2 linked regions of the Tamandua tetradactyla genome follow. The protein of the gene in region 1 interacts with the protein of each later gene in a pairwise test. Links are inferred from orthologs where the notes say so. Each region holds a gene or a part of one and is shown in the gene's direction. Other genes may lie near its edges. The genes, in order: TNNI3 and TNNC2.

Region 1 (7,687 bases):
TTTCAAAGTCCAATTAAAAATGTTTGGTCATTGCCCTCTATTTTATTTTATCACTTGCTCAGTCAGTAACCTTAGAGCCTCAGCTTTCCCCATCTGTAAAATGCTAAATATATAATAGCTCCTGCAGTCAGTGAGAGAATTCCAGGAGAAAATCCACATGAAACTTTAAGAATAGTGCGTAATGCCATGTCAGTGCTCAACATCTCCTGCCCTGGGAGAAGGCCAAGGGAGATGAGGAGATTCCCTGGAGTGAACCCTAGAGGAGGAGAGGCAGAAGAGACAGGGGGTGGGGCAGGGTTTTCGTCTCCCTCAATTGAAGGTGTGAGGCCCGGGGAGTCTGCCCCAGGGAGGCGGCCTTGGAGCTGAGGCTGAAAGGAGGAAGGTGTGTGATTAGGTGGTAGAATGCTCGCCGGCCATGTGGGAGACCGGGTTCCACTCTTGGCCCATGCAGCCTCCCGCAGCGCACTCCCCCCACCCAAATTGTCACAGGCAATTCAGGACAGGTGGGATGGAGAAAGACAGGAAACAGACCTAGATTAGGGTAAACAGTTCCCGTTGTAGGTATTGCGCTGTGCAGAGTTGGCCCGGCTTCATTTTATTCATTAATAAATATGAAATAATTAGATAACAATAGAAATGAACATATACTCTGGAAAGGGTCTTCACCCCCACACACACACCTGTCTGATTTCTGAACTCCCCCCAGAGAGGAGCGAGGCCTTCCTGGAGGTGTGGGGGAATGCGCTGCTGCGTGCCCAGGTGGGCGCCGTCGTGCGCGCCCAGGCCGACCGCCTGGCGCACCTGGTCCCGGAGCCCGAGTGTCTGGCCGAGCAGCTGCCCTGGCTCAGCCTCAGCGCCCTCAAGGTACCGCCCCCCCCCGCGGGGTTCCGGATGGCCTTGGGGAGAATGGAAATGGGCAGTCCTGAGACAGATGTGTAGATGGCGAGAACTGGGGCTCTGGAGTTGGGATCCCAGGTCCCTGGCTCCCACTGTGGGATCTTGGGCGGGGCCGGGGGAGGGGGCTTCCTCTCCCTGAAGCCTCAGTTTCTTCACCCGAGAAAGGCTCCTTCTCACCCCCTGGAGTGGAGAGAGGGTCAGGCTAGAGAAGCCGCTCGCCCTCCGTTCCCCACTTCCTTCCCTTCTCCACGCGCGCGTGCCGGAGCAGTTCCGCGAGCGGGACGCGCTGGAGGCGGTGTTCCGCTTCTGGGCGGGCGGAGAGAAAGGGCCCGAGGCCTTCCCCATGAGCCGTCTGTGGGACTCGCGGCTCCGCCAATACCTGGGCTCCCGCTACGACGCCCGGCGCGGGGTCAGCGACTGGGACCTGCACATGAAGCTGCACGACCGGGGGGTGAGGGGCGCGCCTGCGGCCCAGGGGAGGGACTGGGGGCCCGGACCCCCGGGCGTGAGGGTGGAGGGGCTGGGGGCCTGGACCCGGGTCTGAGGCGAGAGAGGCTGGGAGCTCACAGGCCAACCCGCTGGGCCTCCTTCCCGCCCCGCACCCCAGGCCCAGGTCATCCACATTCGCGAGTTCCGGCGCTGGAGAGACACCGGCGTCGCCTTTGAGCGCAGAGACTCCAGCGCCTACCACGTCCCCAACCGGACCCTGGCGTCCGGTCGCCTCCTGAGCCACGTGCGTGTCGCCCGCTGCCCTTTCCCCTCCTCCTTCTCCAGGAGCCAGGCAGTTATTGGGGGGCCCCAGCACCAGTTTCACCCGCCTCCTCTCGCCCTCCTCTCCCAGCGCGGGGAGCGCGTGGCCGCGCGCGGGTACTGGGGAGACATCGCCACGGGGCCCTTTGTGGCCTTTGGCATCGAAGCCGACGACCAGAGCCTCCTGCGCACCAGCAACGGGAAGCCGGTCAAGGTGTGCGGACGCTGGGCGGGCTGGGGGAGCCACGGCGAGGCCCCGCCCGCCGCCGTCCAGACCCCGCCCCTCACCCCTGGCCCCGCCTCCCTATAGGCCCCGCCCCCGCCTCAGGTCTTGGCGTTCCTTGGCCATTTTGGGGGTTTAAGCCAGTCAGGCCTCCGCTATCCAAGCTCGCCCGGAGCTCGGGTCTCGGGTGCCAGCTTCCCGGTCAGTGCTCTAGCCCCGCCCCGCAGCCCCCACCCCAGCACGTGGCCTCGCCCCCTCCCCCGGCAGACCGCGGGCGACATCACGCTGCGCAACGTGACGGCGCTGTTCCGGGAGGTGTCCGCATGGCGGCGCCCGAGGGCCACCCAGGGGCCGCCGAAGGAGGCGCAGCGCGTCGGGGAGGGAGCCCCGGAGCCCCGTAAGCCGCGCGCTTGGCGCTCCCCGGGAACTGGGAGGCCGGGCTCGGGCGCCCCGGGAGAACGCGGGACGGGGCTTCAGGCTCCAGGCATTTCACCCTGTAGTCCGGGGGCAGTGACCTCCCCTTCCGGACGGCGCGTCTTAGTCTCTCTTTGTGCTTCTCTTCCTGGAATTCAGAATCCCACAAATAGAATTCTGGTTACCTGCAGAAGTCTGGCTGAGAGCATTCTAACAGGGAGCAGGGTCCCAGTCACCTTTTGGAGACTGGGTTTCATCACACACACCTGCCACTCTCTAACCATTCCCGACGCGGCTCTCCCTGGGTGTTGACCCGTCTGCGCACGGCGCCCTGCCCGCCCCAATTTCTCTCTCTCTCTGTCTCGTCTCAGTTCTTCGGTTGGTAAAATAGGCCTCTACCTCTCTGGCCGACCCTTATAGGATTTTCCAGGAACCTACCTAAGAGAAAGGATGAGAAAAGGATTTCAAGGTGTATGTTTACAAGGAGCGTTAGCTCCAAGCCTTGTGCATCTGTCCAGACGCTGTCAGCGTCTAACACGCGCGCACACACACACACGCACCCCACCTTGGCGTCACAGCCCAGGGATGCCCCTCTCTGCTCCTCAGCAGACGCCGCCCCGGAGTCTTTCATTATCCACTTCCTGCCCCTCGGTTCTGCCCAGACCCTCCACCACAAAGGCTGCTACAAGGGACGGTTCCAGCTTCTCTACCTGGCCTGCGGGTAAGAGAACCCGGGAGGCACCACATCTCCTTCCCCCAGCCCCTCCTCCCTCAACCCCGGGGTGCAGGCCCCCAGCCCTTCCACCCTTAGACCCGGGGGTCCAGACCCCCAGTCTCTCCTCCCTCAGGACCGGGATTTGGAATTGCAACCGCTTCTCTTTATTCTCTGCAGAATGGTCCATCTTCTCAGCCCTGAACTCGGGGCCTGTGTGGCCCCCGGAGGGCGCATGATCGTGGAACTAGCCCGGTGAGCTAGATGGACACCGGGCCGGGGCGGCCGGGCCTGGGACCCGAGAGCAGGGGCCCCTGACGTGCTTCTTCCGGGTCTCAGATATCTCGTAGACCTGCGGCCGGAGCAGCTGCAGGAGTTCTCCGCGCGGGTCGGGGAGCTAGCTCGGGCAGCTGGATTCGTTCCTCAACCCGGGGCCGCGCCCTCGGAGACCTTTGCGCGCTTCTGCAAGTCCGGAGATTCTCCTCCTGGCGGCGCCGACCCAACTGCGGATTGTGGAACTCCACCTCCAGAAGCCCTGGTCCCGCCTTCTGAGCGCCTGGTCCCGCGTCTTAAGGAACTGGCCCCACCCCCTGAGCCTTTTGACCGGCCCCCTGAGACCCAGGGTTCAGTCTTGGAGCTTCTGGCTCTGCCCCAGGAGTCTCTGCCCCCGCCCCCAGCGAGTCAGACTCCAAAGCCAGAGAGTCTGACGCCACCCCCAGAGACCGAGTCCCCCATGTCTCAGTTCTGAAGTCAGAACCCATCTAATTCTGTTATCATTCGAAACCTGTCAGTAGAATTCTCAGTTTTACTCTTAAGATTCTCACTCAGCCCCAGAAGTGTTGCTAGAATTTCAAATTCCGTTCCTGAGGTCCTGCATTCTAGGAATTCTAGACTGTTCTCCAGAATTCAGAAATCCACTTCTACCCCAGCCCTGAGACCCGGCCCTGGGATCGGACCCTGTGCCTGCACCGCGCGTCGTGGGGTCCCTGCCCCTTTCTGAGGGTGGCAGGCTCTCCTGCCCGGTCGGCCCGGCCCCCAACAGGTTCCAGTAAAGACAGCTGAGTGCTCTTCTCCGAGTGTCCGTGTGTCTTTCTGGCGCCCAGGCTGTCTCCAGCGGCTGGTGGCGGGAGGGGCCTGGGGAGTGAGGAGGGGAGACCCGAGACGAGATTTCCACGTGAACTGGAGCTGGCGTCTGAAGGGCTGTGGGGTGGGCGCCGGGACCCCCACGCCTGGATCCACAATGGAAGAACTTCCTGAGGGTTTGGGTGCTGACCCGGACGGGAAAAGATCTAGACTAAGGTCTAGCTGTCATGGGGCTTCTGATCACGCCTCACCCCCACCTGCCGCCACCCACCGGGGATGGCCCCCCTTCCCCCTCCCCGAAACCCCCACTTTGGAGTCCTGCGACGTCCCCTTCTAGAGGACATTGCATTTTACTGAGGGGCTGGGGGCCTGGACTGCCGGGTCTGCTGGGCGAGGGGGCCCCGGCCGCCAAGGTTGCGGGGAGATCCAGCTGGAGCGCGGCCAGCCCCGCCCCTCACGCGCCCCGTTATCTCGCATCCTGGGCAGAGGGAGGAGGCGGCGCAGTATATTTAGTCTCTGTCCTTCGTCCTTTATCTCAGTGTCCTCGGGACGCCTGAGCAGCCAGAGGGACCCGAGCGACCCAGGGACCTCCAAGGTCACCCGGGCGCCCCCTCACTGACCCTCTGAGACCCCTGGATCTGTCTCTTGGCCCTCGCAGATCCGGGCCTGAGACTCGGCATGGCGGATGAGTGCGTGAGGGGTGGAGGCCCGGCACCCTGGGGTCCCGGGCTGGAGACGTGGGGGCCGCGTCCCGGGTCCCTGAGCGAGGCGAGGGACGTCTGTCCAGAGGTGGAGGGGAGGGAGCCGGACGCCTGGGACCTAATGAAGGGGGAGCCGGTGGCACGACCTCCGGGTCAGAGGGGCCCTGGGGTCGCTTAGAAAAGGAGGAGGCGCGACCCAAGTCCCTGTCCCCGGTTTCTCTCCCTGCAGGGGCAGCGATGCGGTGAGAGCAGCAGGCTGGGACCGCGAGGCCGGGGTAACCCCTGGGGAGGGCTTGGGGAGGGCAGGGTGGCACCCCGGGGTGACGCAGCCCCGCTCCCTCTACCCAGGGCCCCGCGCCCGCCCCGATCCGACGCCTCTCCTCAGCCAACTACCGCGCCTACGCCACGCAGCCGCACGCCAAAGTGAGGGGCCCACGCAGCGGCGACGGCGCCCATGGGGGTAGAGGGGCCTGCGGGCGGGGGCGGCGGGGACTGCGCCCCGCGGAGGCCGGGCTGGGACTGGTGGGCGCCGCCTCGGGGGCCCCCGGCTGACCCACGATGGAGGGGCGGGGCGGGGCCGGAGCCCCGGACGGGTGGGCCCGGCTGAGCTGCGTGGAAACCCGCACCTGCCTGGAGCGCGCGCGGGCTGCAGCTCCTCCCTCCGCCTGCCCCGGGGCCTCCTCCCTCACCTTTCTTTGCTCCTTCCCACCGCATGTCACCGCGGCAGAAAAAGTCCAAGATCACCGCGTCGAGAAAACTGCTGCTGAAGGTGAGGGGACAAAGCGGTGCTCGGGGCTGGGGGCGGGGGGGGGGGCGGGACTCGAGAGGGAGGGAGTGTGGGGCTTGAGAGTGGGCTTCGGGCGCCAGGGGCGTGGTTTTGGACCGAGTGAGGGCGGGGCTCGCGCGTGGCAGTGCTGAAGGGGCGTGGCTTGAGTCAGCACCCCCCACAACCGGGTTGAGGGGGCGGGTCCCTGGAGGCCCGAAGACAGGGCCTGGGATGAGAGGGCAAGGCAGAGGCGACTCCCCCCGGGGAGAGCCTTCATCCGGCCACCCGGGTGGGCTGCGGTCCCCCTGCCACCCCGCAGACTCTGATGCTGCAGATCGCCAAGCAGGAGCTGGAGCGCGAGGCGGAAGAGCGGCGCGGGGAGAAGGGGCGCGCCCTGAGCGCCCGGTGCCAGCCCCTGGAGCTGGCAGGGCTCGGCCTGGCGGAGCTGCAGGTACTGGCTGCCGGACATGGCTCCTACGCAGCCTGGGACCCTCCGGACCCGGGCTCCGGTCTTGCACCCCTGGGCACTTGGGACAGTCACTCTCACCCCTTCTGCTCAGGACCCTCAGACTCTCTTGGCTCCGAGCACCCTTTGTTTGGATCCTCTTTTAGGATCAGATGTCCAGGGGCCCAGTCTCCTCCTTCCTAAACATTCAAGAGTCTGCTCCCCCAGCCCCTCCTGTGTCAGACCCAGGAACTCAGGCCCCCAGCGTCCACCCGCCCCCCATGCACCCTCCTTCTCCACCAGGACTTGTGCCGACAGCTCCACTCCCGCGTGGACAAGGTGGATGATGAGAGATACGACGTGGAGGCAAAAGTGACCAAGAACGTTAAGGAGGTGGTGATGTTGGGCCGCTGGGGTGCCCGTCAGAGCGGGGTGGGATGTCTTGGGAGAACCTCTCGCAGCCCCTTTTGGTTGCAGTCCCCGGCAGACCCGGGAAAACTGTGGGGACCTGGTGGGGAGGAGACAGAAGGATGAGTATAAAATGGCCAGGAAGGGGTGTTCCTGGCAGAGGGAGCAGCCTGTGGCAAACCAGGCAGCAGTCGGGATGCAGAAGGTGCGATGGTGGGAATGTGTGTCTGGAGCGGGAAGTGATAGATCAGAGAGAGCTTTGCGTTCCAGGATGAGGAGTTTGGATTTTGTCCTGAAGCCAGTGGGAGCCTGAGCTGGGGACTGGATGAAGCCTGGGTACTGCAAGGCAGGGGATGTAGGTGGAAAAGCCGGATGACAGGGTAGTCAAGGGAAGATCCCCATGTGGTTCCCAGATCGCAGATCTGACCCAGAAGATCTTCGACCTTCGGGGCAAGTTTAAGCGACCCACCCTGAAGAGAGTGAAGATCTCTGCGGATGCCATGATGCAGGCGCTGCTGGGGACCCGGGCTAAGGAGTCCCTGGACCTGCGCGCCCACCTCAAGCAGGTGAAGAAGGAGGACACGGAGAAGGTGAGTGTGGTGCTGCGGTCCCTGGGCTCTGGGGGTCAGCAACCCTACGGCATAACCCAAGGAGGTGGTGCACGGAGTCTGGGGTAGAAGCAGCTGGTAAGGGGTCCTCAGTGCCAGGTACAGGAGGGACATAGGAAATGCAAGAGGAAGACAGGAAATGTTACAGGAAGAGAGGAAGCATCAAGGAGGCAAGAAGTGCAGGACGGGGTCAAGAAAGCAAAAACAAGTTAAATAGAAGAGAAGTAAGCAGGGGGGCAGGAAGAGGGAGGGGCAGACAGAAAGTATCATAGAAGAGAGAAATTATGCACGGATGTAAGAGCAGGGGGACAACAGGAGAAGCATGAAGGATACAGGAAATGCAGGAGGGAGACAGGACATGCACGAGGAGAAACGGGAAGTGCAGAAGGGAGATAGGAAGTGCGTGAGGGGAAACAGGAAGTGCGTGGGGGAAACAGGAAGTGCGTGAGGGGAAACAGGAAGTACATGAAGGAAAACGGGAAGCGTATGACGGAGACAGGAAGTGCATGTTGACAGACATTGTTTGAGGGGGCAAGAAATGTTCTCGAATCAGGCCCTTGGACTGGCATCCAGTGTAGAGCCACTCGGCAGCAAGGAGGGCACGTGGGGTTCCTTGAGGGGCCAGAGGTCAGGGAGAGACCCTAACTTCTGGTCCCGTTCTCCCAGGAAATCCGGGAGGT
Region 2 (7,605 bases), on another chromosome or scaffold:
TCCGGGAACTGCTCGGCCTCGGGGCCGCCCGCCGCCTCCCCGGGGCCGTCGCCGGCCAGGGCGTGCCGCAGCCGGTACAGGAGCCGGGAGGCCATGGCACCCTGGGGGGAGCACCCGGGGCTGGGTCCTCGGCCCCTGCGGGAGGTGGCCCCCAGCCCGGGCGCGGCGGAGGGGCGGGGCACTGGCCGGTGGAGGGAGGGGCGCCGCGGAGGCCCCGCCCCCGCCCGCTGGGGGTCCCGCGCGCCCCGGGCCTCCTGCCGCGCCGCCATCCCCCCGCCCGCGCAGCCTGGGCCGCGCTCCTCCGCGGAGGGTCACCGGGTCCTCCCCGCTTCTCTGCCCGCCCCGCGCGCCTCTACCTCCGGCGCCCCGCCGAGCGCCCAGGGCGCCCCGCTCCCCGGGAAGGCCCGCAACCCCGCTGTGGCTCGCCGAAACCGGCCGGGCGCCGCGGCTCCGCCGGCCCAGGCCGCTCCGAGCGCCGCTTCCTGCCGCCGCCCCGCCTCCGGCCCCGCCCGCTGCCCGGAGCCGCCCGGGAATTCCGGGCCCCGCGCCCCGGGAGGGACTTGGGAATCCGGGGCCGGCCTGGGCGAGCCTCACGCCTCGGCCGGGTTGTCCCCCAACTGGGCGGGAGCGCACCCTCCTCGAACCCTCGCACCCCTCCCAGCAGCCCTGTCCGCCCCATCTTTCCACTTCGTTGTCCCCGGAGCTCTCTAACTTTCCGAAGTCATTATGCAGCAGAGGACGCCCATTTCTCCAGTGAGGAATCCGGGCCTGGAGTGGGTGCGGGATCTGGGCTGGCGTCTGATCTGACTGTAATTTTGCAACTGGTAGCATCAGCTCAGGCGGGGATCCCAGGGCCCAGCACCAGGCAGGGGCTGACGAAATGCTCAGTTACATCATGATTTTGTTTCTACAGTGCTCACAGGCTTTCACAAGCTCATTTGAGTCTCGCATGTAGGGAGTAGGTCAAAGGGGAAACTAAGAACCAGGAAGGCCAGTCATTTGCCCAAAATTCCACAGCCTGCTAGAGATTTCTAGGTGTGGGGACTTGGAACCAGAGCCTCCTGAGCTCCGCATCCTGCTCTTCTCCCGCGCAGCAGGGCTGCTGTCATCTCAGCAGCTCCTCTGGGGCGCCGGTTTCATTTTCTCTGTGGAGGGGAAGGGTCGGTTGATAAGAATTAAGAATCATTTGAGGCTTCCTGTTAGAAGGTCTAGATGTCTGTCTCTAGCAGGGCAGGTATCTTAGTTATACGATTAAACAAAACCTCCCTGAAAGCAGTTGCAACCCTGTTGGGAGTGGGCCTGGAGAGGAGTGGCAGGGACGTGTCTGCACAGAGAGCACACTCTCTGCCCTCCCTCAAGTGGGCGGGGCAGGGTTCGCTTCTTAGGTGCCACGGCGTCCAGAGTTCAGTTGGCGGCACCTTACATGGTGTCACATTTCACCCTCACAATATCCTGGAGTCTATTACTGGACAATGATGATCCATTTTCAAGATGAAGAAACCAAGGCAACTTGACTTTCCCAAGGTCCACAGCTAGGAAATAGGGGAACAAATCCATGTAATTTCAAAGCTCCTCCTGCTCTTTATGCCAATAAATAAACATTGGCTGAATATTACCTTGCACTTTGATAAATGCCTCAAAAGACCGAGTACAAATAGTGTTCATAAAACCATGGCTGTCAGAGTGTGCTGGCTTGAAGCTGTGATGTACCCCAGAAAAGGCCATAATCTTTTAGTTCCTTCCTGCGGGTGTGAGCCCTTTGTGGTGGCACCTTCTGATTAGGTTATTTCAATTGAGATGTGACCCACCCAATTCAAGGAGGAGGGTACTTAATCCTCTATTGGAGTCCTTTATGAGAGGATAAAAGGCAGAAAAAGCCAGAGGGCTCAGAGTAGAACACCCAAAGAGAGCTCAGAGTGGAACGAGAACCGGAGAAGTTCAGGGAAGAGGCTGCTGGAACCAGAAGCTGAAAGCAAGGGGACCTGGGAGCAAAGGAGGCAGCAGATGCCAGCCATGTGTGTGCCCATGTGGCAGAGGGGTCCCAGATGCCAGTGGCCTGTCTTTGGAGTCCAGGTATCATTCTGTTACTGCCTTAATTTGGACATTTTCAGGGCCTTAGAACTGTAAATTTATCAACTAATAAATCCCCGTTGTAAAAGCCAACCCACTTCTGATATATTGCATCCCCGCAGCTTTAGCAAACTGGAGCCCAGAGCCAAAAGGGTCTCTCAAAAATCTGGCCTATTGCTTCCATTTTATAGTTGGGAAGTCTGAGGCTTAGTGAGGGGAATGGACTTACCCATACAACAGGTCTTCTGATCCACAACTTTGAATTCCCCAAAACTCTTAGACTGCATATGCCATCTCCTTACAACCTCCCTGCGAGATAGTTACCTAACTCCTGCTTGAAAACATCCAGTGACAGGGAGCTCATTTCCTTATAAAGCTGCTGGTTCCCGTGATTGTTATTTAGTCCTTCCTTTTATTGAATCAGATCCCAGTCATTTCAGCTATGTATGTATTGAATGCCTGCTAAGTGGCAAGTGCTAGGCCCTGGAGGATGCAGTGGTGAACAGGAAACAGTGTCTGGTCAGGGTGATACAGAACACATTGTGATCATACAGCATGCTCAGTGCTGTGATTCAAGAAACTACTGGAGACCTCTCTGAAGTCCCCTGACCTGAGAATAGGGGAGGGGGGATCCTGGAGCAAGAGATGTTAAAGCTGAAAAAGATAGTAGGGAAGTAGGCAGGCAAAGAGAGGGAAGAAGGGGTTCCTGGTAGAAAAAAACAACATGCACAAGGGCATGGAGGTTCTAAAGGGTGATATTTGGGGGAGTATTTAAGTCTGATCACAGCAGAGCAGCATTCAAGGTGGAGAGAGGAGGAAGGAGTAAGATCAGAGGGGTAGATGGGACCCTGCTTGCCACACTGAGGAATTTGACTTTATTTCTCTGAATGAAAGAACACACAAATGAACAAACAATCTCTGCAGGTTCACAACCTCTGTTTCCAAGTATTTTGTGTCCAAACTGGAGGCCCCTAGGTGTTGCCCCTTGGCCCTTTGCCTGGCTGGGGGAGGTCCTTTTTTGCCTGACCTGGTTCTGCTGAGCTTTCCTTGGGAATGTCTATATATAGGGAAAGGAGGCAGCCCAGTTGTCACTGTCCATCTGCCTTCCCTGCTGTGCAGCACCCCCTCCCTGGCCCCAGGACCCATGCCCTACCAGCTTGGTGCGCTTTCTATTGATTTAGCCACTGTCCAGGAGCCTGGCCTACCCCAAAATGCCCAGCCTGGAACCTGAGGATTCTTGGGTGGTCTCTCTTCAGACTAGAGCTGCCCACTTCATTCACTCTCCAGATGGCCAGCTGAGCTCTTCCAGATACCTTCATGGAGCTCTAGGAGGAGGTCAGCTGCCCCTTCAACTATAGAGAAACTTTCCCTGGGACCACCCATTCCCCCACCACCCCACCCACCAAAAAAAACCCAAAATCAAAACCAAAGTGAATCCCAAACACCCTTTTCCTGGAGGAGACAGGCTGTCTGCTCTCTATGCTTATCTTATTTACAGCCCCCTTCATGACCCCTTCCAAATGCCCCCATCATCTCCCCCTCCCCCTCCTCCCCCTCTGCCCAGGACCATCTGTCCCAGGTTATCCCTGTCAGGATTAATAATAAGAATCACCAACATGCATACAGATGCTTATGGTTTCCAAAGCACTTCAGGAAAATGGGGATAATAATAGTTACTACCTCATGGGATGAAAACTAGCTGAGCTCATATGGTTTAAATGCTCAGTGTGTGGCAAGTCATAAAGGTTCAACAAACTGGTCATAGCTGTCTACCAAGGTTTAAAGACAGGACTTGCCTGCCATGTACCTGGCACAGGCTAGGTGGCATATCTGGGCTCCTGTTTATAGCGATCTCTCTGTAAGGGAGGTTATGACTATCCCCATCTCATAGATGAGAAGACTGAGGCTCAGAGAGGCATTGCCACCTGCACAGTGTCACACAGCTCACAGAGGCAGGACTTTGGATCTTGGGTTTTGGACAGCATAGCTGTGCTCTGCCTACTCTATCTCCCCTGCTGCCCCATTTTCCTCTGTTCTGATTGTCGGTACCCATCTTGGCACAAGTGTGCCTCCTGAGCCGGGGCTCCCTGAGGCAGGGAGCAGGGAAAGTCCTCCTCACAAGAATCTAGGACGCCAAGGCCTGCCACCTGCTCAGAGGCTTAAATTTCTCTGCAAGGGCCCTTGGCTAAATTAGGTAATGGGCTAGGATTCTGGGAGGGGTGGGGCTCGCTGACCCCAGAATCTGATTGGCCAGGCTAACCAGTCCTGGGGAGCAGGAAGGCGGGAGGGGAAGGGGCCCCTACAAATCCCGGGGGCTGGAGAGGGCTGGGGCATCCTCGGGTGGTGGTGTGCAGAGGAGGTGACACGCAGCTGAGGATCCCAAGCCAACGACAATCATGGTAAGGGTAAGGATGGACTTCGTTCTCTCCCTTGCTGGAGCACTTCTGGGCCTCTCCCAGGCCAGACCGGGTGTGCAGGATGCGGGTCAGTAAGTCGGAGTTTTACAGTTGCGGTGTGAAGTGTCCTGGAAGCCAGGGGTCTTGGGGGAAGGCTGGGAAGAAGGCCTTCTACTTCTCTTGGAAGGGGAAGGTTGGGATGTTCCATGGGTTGATGCTCAAGGCTTGCCGATTCCTTCCAGGCCTTGGGACTCCCAGCACTGTCAGTCACAGAGCTGTGAGGGGTCTTCACTTATCTCCCTCACGGTAGAGTTGGGGACCCTGAGACCCACAGCAGGTTGACTAAGGTCCCAGTGAGAGAGTGGCAGGAGTGGGCCTCAAGCCTGGCCAAACCTTCCAACTGTCCATGGTAGGAAAAGCTTCTCCAGAAGATTGGGTGCCTGCAGCCAGCTTAGGTGCAGGGCTCCAGAGCCTCGAGAGTGATGGGAAAAGGCAGAAGACGACAGACCAGACTTGGGAAGACCGCAGCCTCCCAGAAAGGGGCTCTGATTTGGGACTGTCATTTTCTCCTGAGACCCCCACCCCCACCCCACTTCACTTCAAGGAGTAACTAGACCCCAGAGACCAGCTGCTATTGCCCTTGCCTGATTAAAAATAGCCTGCCCTTCTGGCACCGGAAAGAAGGGTGGCAGGAGGGGGGGCAAGGGGGAGGCAGTGGCTGAAGAACTCCTTGGACATCTCAGCCCTTCCTCGCTGCCAAGCATCAGTCCAATGGCCCCTCCTTCCATGAAGCCTCCACAGATGGTCCGGCTGGGATATGACCGGAAAGCTCTACGGCAATCTTACTCTCGCCCTCTCAAGGCCACCAGCACCTTTTACCTAGCATGAGAGTGTTTACTGGGATGACTAAGTCCTAAGAACCTTACCATTTGGAGCCCTGCCTTCCACCTCTGCAAGTTCTCTGAGGGGAGGGATGATGAGTCCAGGTCTTCTGGGTCCGTGTATGGCCTGTGGCCTGGCACAGTACATGCCCACTAGCTTTGTGTTGCGTCATCATTTACTGAGCACCGCCTGAAGTAGGACCGCATTATCAGGTGCTAGGAAAAATCACGCTGGAATGATGCTTTCTGAAGCCCTTTCACACCCGTAATTTCATCTCAATCTAGAGAAAAAATGAGGGTACACTAAGTGACTTGCCCAAGGTCAGTGGGGGTTGTCGACTGGCCTTCAGACTGATAAACGAGGAGATCTTGGACATAACCTGTGTCTGCCCCTGAGTTCTTTTCAACTGGGGTGGATGCTGTGGGGCCAGGCAGCAGCTCGGCAAGTGTGGACCCGGTTTTCCTGAGGCCCCAGGAGTACTCACAGAAACTGGGGGTGGCGGGAAGAGGGTGAAGGCAAGAATCCGCCCGAGGGCTTGCTTCCCCTGCATCCTGACTCCCCGTGTCTTCTGCAGACGGACCAGCAGGCTGAGGCCCGGTCCTATCTCAGCGAGGAGATGATTGCTGGTGAGTGGGCGGGGGGCACCGGGTGTGGGGGTGCGTGGGCAGGTGGGAGGGTGGCTGTGGGGCTGGCAGGCTCGCCAGCTCGCCGCAGCCTTGGACGCCTACTCTCCGGGCAGAGTTCAAGGCCGCCTTCGACATGTTCGATGCCGATGGCGGCGGGGACATCAGCGTCAAGGAGCTGGGCACGGTGATGAGGATGCTGGGCCAGACGCCCACCAAGGAGGAGCTGGACGCCATCATCGAGGAGGTGGACGAGGACGGTGAGTGCAGGCCCCGGGTCGGCGGGGTGGGGCACGGCGAGGAGGGGCGGCGTCCGGGGCTCCGGCTCAGGCGGCCGCCCCGCGTCCTCAGGCAGCGGCACCATCGACTTTGAGGAGTTCCTGGTCATGATGGTGCGCCAGATGAAAGAGGACGCCAAGGGCAAGAGCGAGGAGGAGCTGGCGGAGTGCTTCCGCATCTTCGACAGGTGCGCAGGGCGCGGGGGGAGGGGCCTGGGGGCGAGTCCCCGGGAGGGAGGGGCCGCGGGAAGGGGCCGAGGAGCGCGGCCGGGGCGACGTGCTGCCGCTCCGCCCCAAGGAACGCCGACGGCTACATCGACGCCGAGGAGCTGGCCGAGATTTTCAGGGCGTCCGGGGAGCACGTGACGGACGAGGAGCTCGAATCCCTAATGAAGGACGGGGACAAGAACAACGACGGCCGCATCGACTTCGACGGTGAGGGCCGCGGGAGCCAAGTCGAGGGGGGCGCATGCGCGGGGGGCGCACACGCGCGCGCTGGCTTTGTGGGCGGGGCCGGTCGGAGCCCGACCGAGGCCCCTCCCCCTTGCGGGCGGGTCGGGCGTGCGGGAGCGTTTGTGCGGTTTGTTAGTTAGTACCGGGGTGGCCCCTCCGCGTGGCCCGAGGCCTGGCCGGCCCGCGCTCGGCCCCTGCCGCAGTTCTCCGCGTCGCGAGTGGGTAATCCCTGATGCCCTCTCCCGCTCCCTCCCTGCAGAGTTCCTGAAGATGATGGAGGGTGTGCAGTAAGGAGTCGGCCCGCGCCCCCGCCGACACCGCGTGTCCCTGGCCGTAGGCGGCTCGGCCGCAGCCGCGCCCAGTCCCCGGCCCCGGCAGGGAGGCGCTGCGCCTTCTGGGTCTGCGTCCGGCAGGAATAAACGCAAACATTGCAAAGCGCGTGGCCTGAGTGAGGGGGACCGGGGACGTCTCCCCGGCGAGGCGGCGGGAGCGGCGGGATGCGGGAGGGCGTGGGGCCGTGCTCGCCAGTTCACGGCCGGCTGCGGGCCTTTGGCGCTGGGCGTGGGCCGCTCGGAGGCCGCGGGGGGCTTCCCGCCGAGTCCCGCAAGCTGGCAGCCCGAGGAGGGTGCAGGCGCGGCAGGACCGCGGGGTGACTCTGGAGGCCTCCCTTTCTGGGACCTTTGGCTATTGGGTGCCACACTTGTCACACCTGCAGCTGCGCGGCACGGGCGGGGATGGGGGTGAGAAGAAAGAAGAAGGAAGGGGCGCGGGGGTCTTATCCCAGGCATCATTATTTGTACTCAACCTTCAACTTCGTCTGAGCGCTTACTAAAAAGTACTGGCCCCTGAAGGGGTGAGGGTGCACAGGCACAAAGCCCTGAAGGAGGTCCTGACGTTATTATC

Evidence for each region.
Region 2: the proteins of TNNI3 (region 1) and TNNC2 interact in binary tests that used the Homo sapiens proteins (3 or more experiments, as listed by UniProt). The two-hybrid records come from large-scale screens. The link is inferred for Tamandua tetradactyla from reciprocal best matches to the Homo sapiens genes TNNI3 and TNNC2.

The regions. Positions count from the first base shown.
Region 1 is NC_135342.1:4,545,653-4,553,339, forward strand, and holds the start of TNNI3 (troponin I, cardiac muscle), read left to right. Parts: upstream 1-4,598; 5' UTR 4,599-4,757; coding exon 4,758-4,768; intron 4,769-5,009; coding exon 5,010-5,055; intron 5,056-5,492; coding exon of another isoform or gene 5,493-5,507; coding exon 5,508-5,549; intron 5,550-5,865; coding exon 5,866-5,997; intron 5,998-6,294; coding exon 6,295-6,384; intron 6,385-6,812; coding exon 6,813-6,989; intron 6,990-7,673; coding exon 7,674-7,687. Other genes in the region: DNAAF3 (dynein axonemal assembly factor 3), read left to right, coding at 707-864, 1,166-1,348, 1,505-1,630, 1,739-1,861, 2,138-2,267, 2,891-3,005, 3,177-3,251, 3,336-3,744. UniProt on the Homo sapiens protein: Troponin I is the inhibitory subunit of troponin, the thin filament regulatory complex which confers calcium-sensitivity to striated muscle actomyosin ATPase activity.
Region 2 is NC_135327.1:6,388,079-6,395,683, forward strand, and holds TNNC2 (troponin C, skeletal muscle), read left to right. Parts: upstream 1-4,354; 5' UTR 4,355-4,466; coding exon 4,467-4,475; intron 4,476-5,922; coding exon 5,923-5,974; intron 5,975-6,087; coding exon 6,088-6,231; intron 6,232-6,322; coding exon 6,323-6,437; intron 6,438-6,547; coding exon 6,548-6,684; intron 6,685-6,961; coding exon 6,962-6,993; 3' UTR 6,994-7,137; downstream 7,138-7,605. Other genes in the region: SNX21 (sorting nexin-21), read right to left, coding at 1-95. UniProt on the Homo sapiens protein: Troponin is the central regulatory protein of striated muscle contraction. Tn consists of three components: Tn-I which is the inhibitor of actomyosin ATPase, Tn-T which contains the binding site for tropomyosin and Tn-C.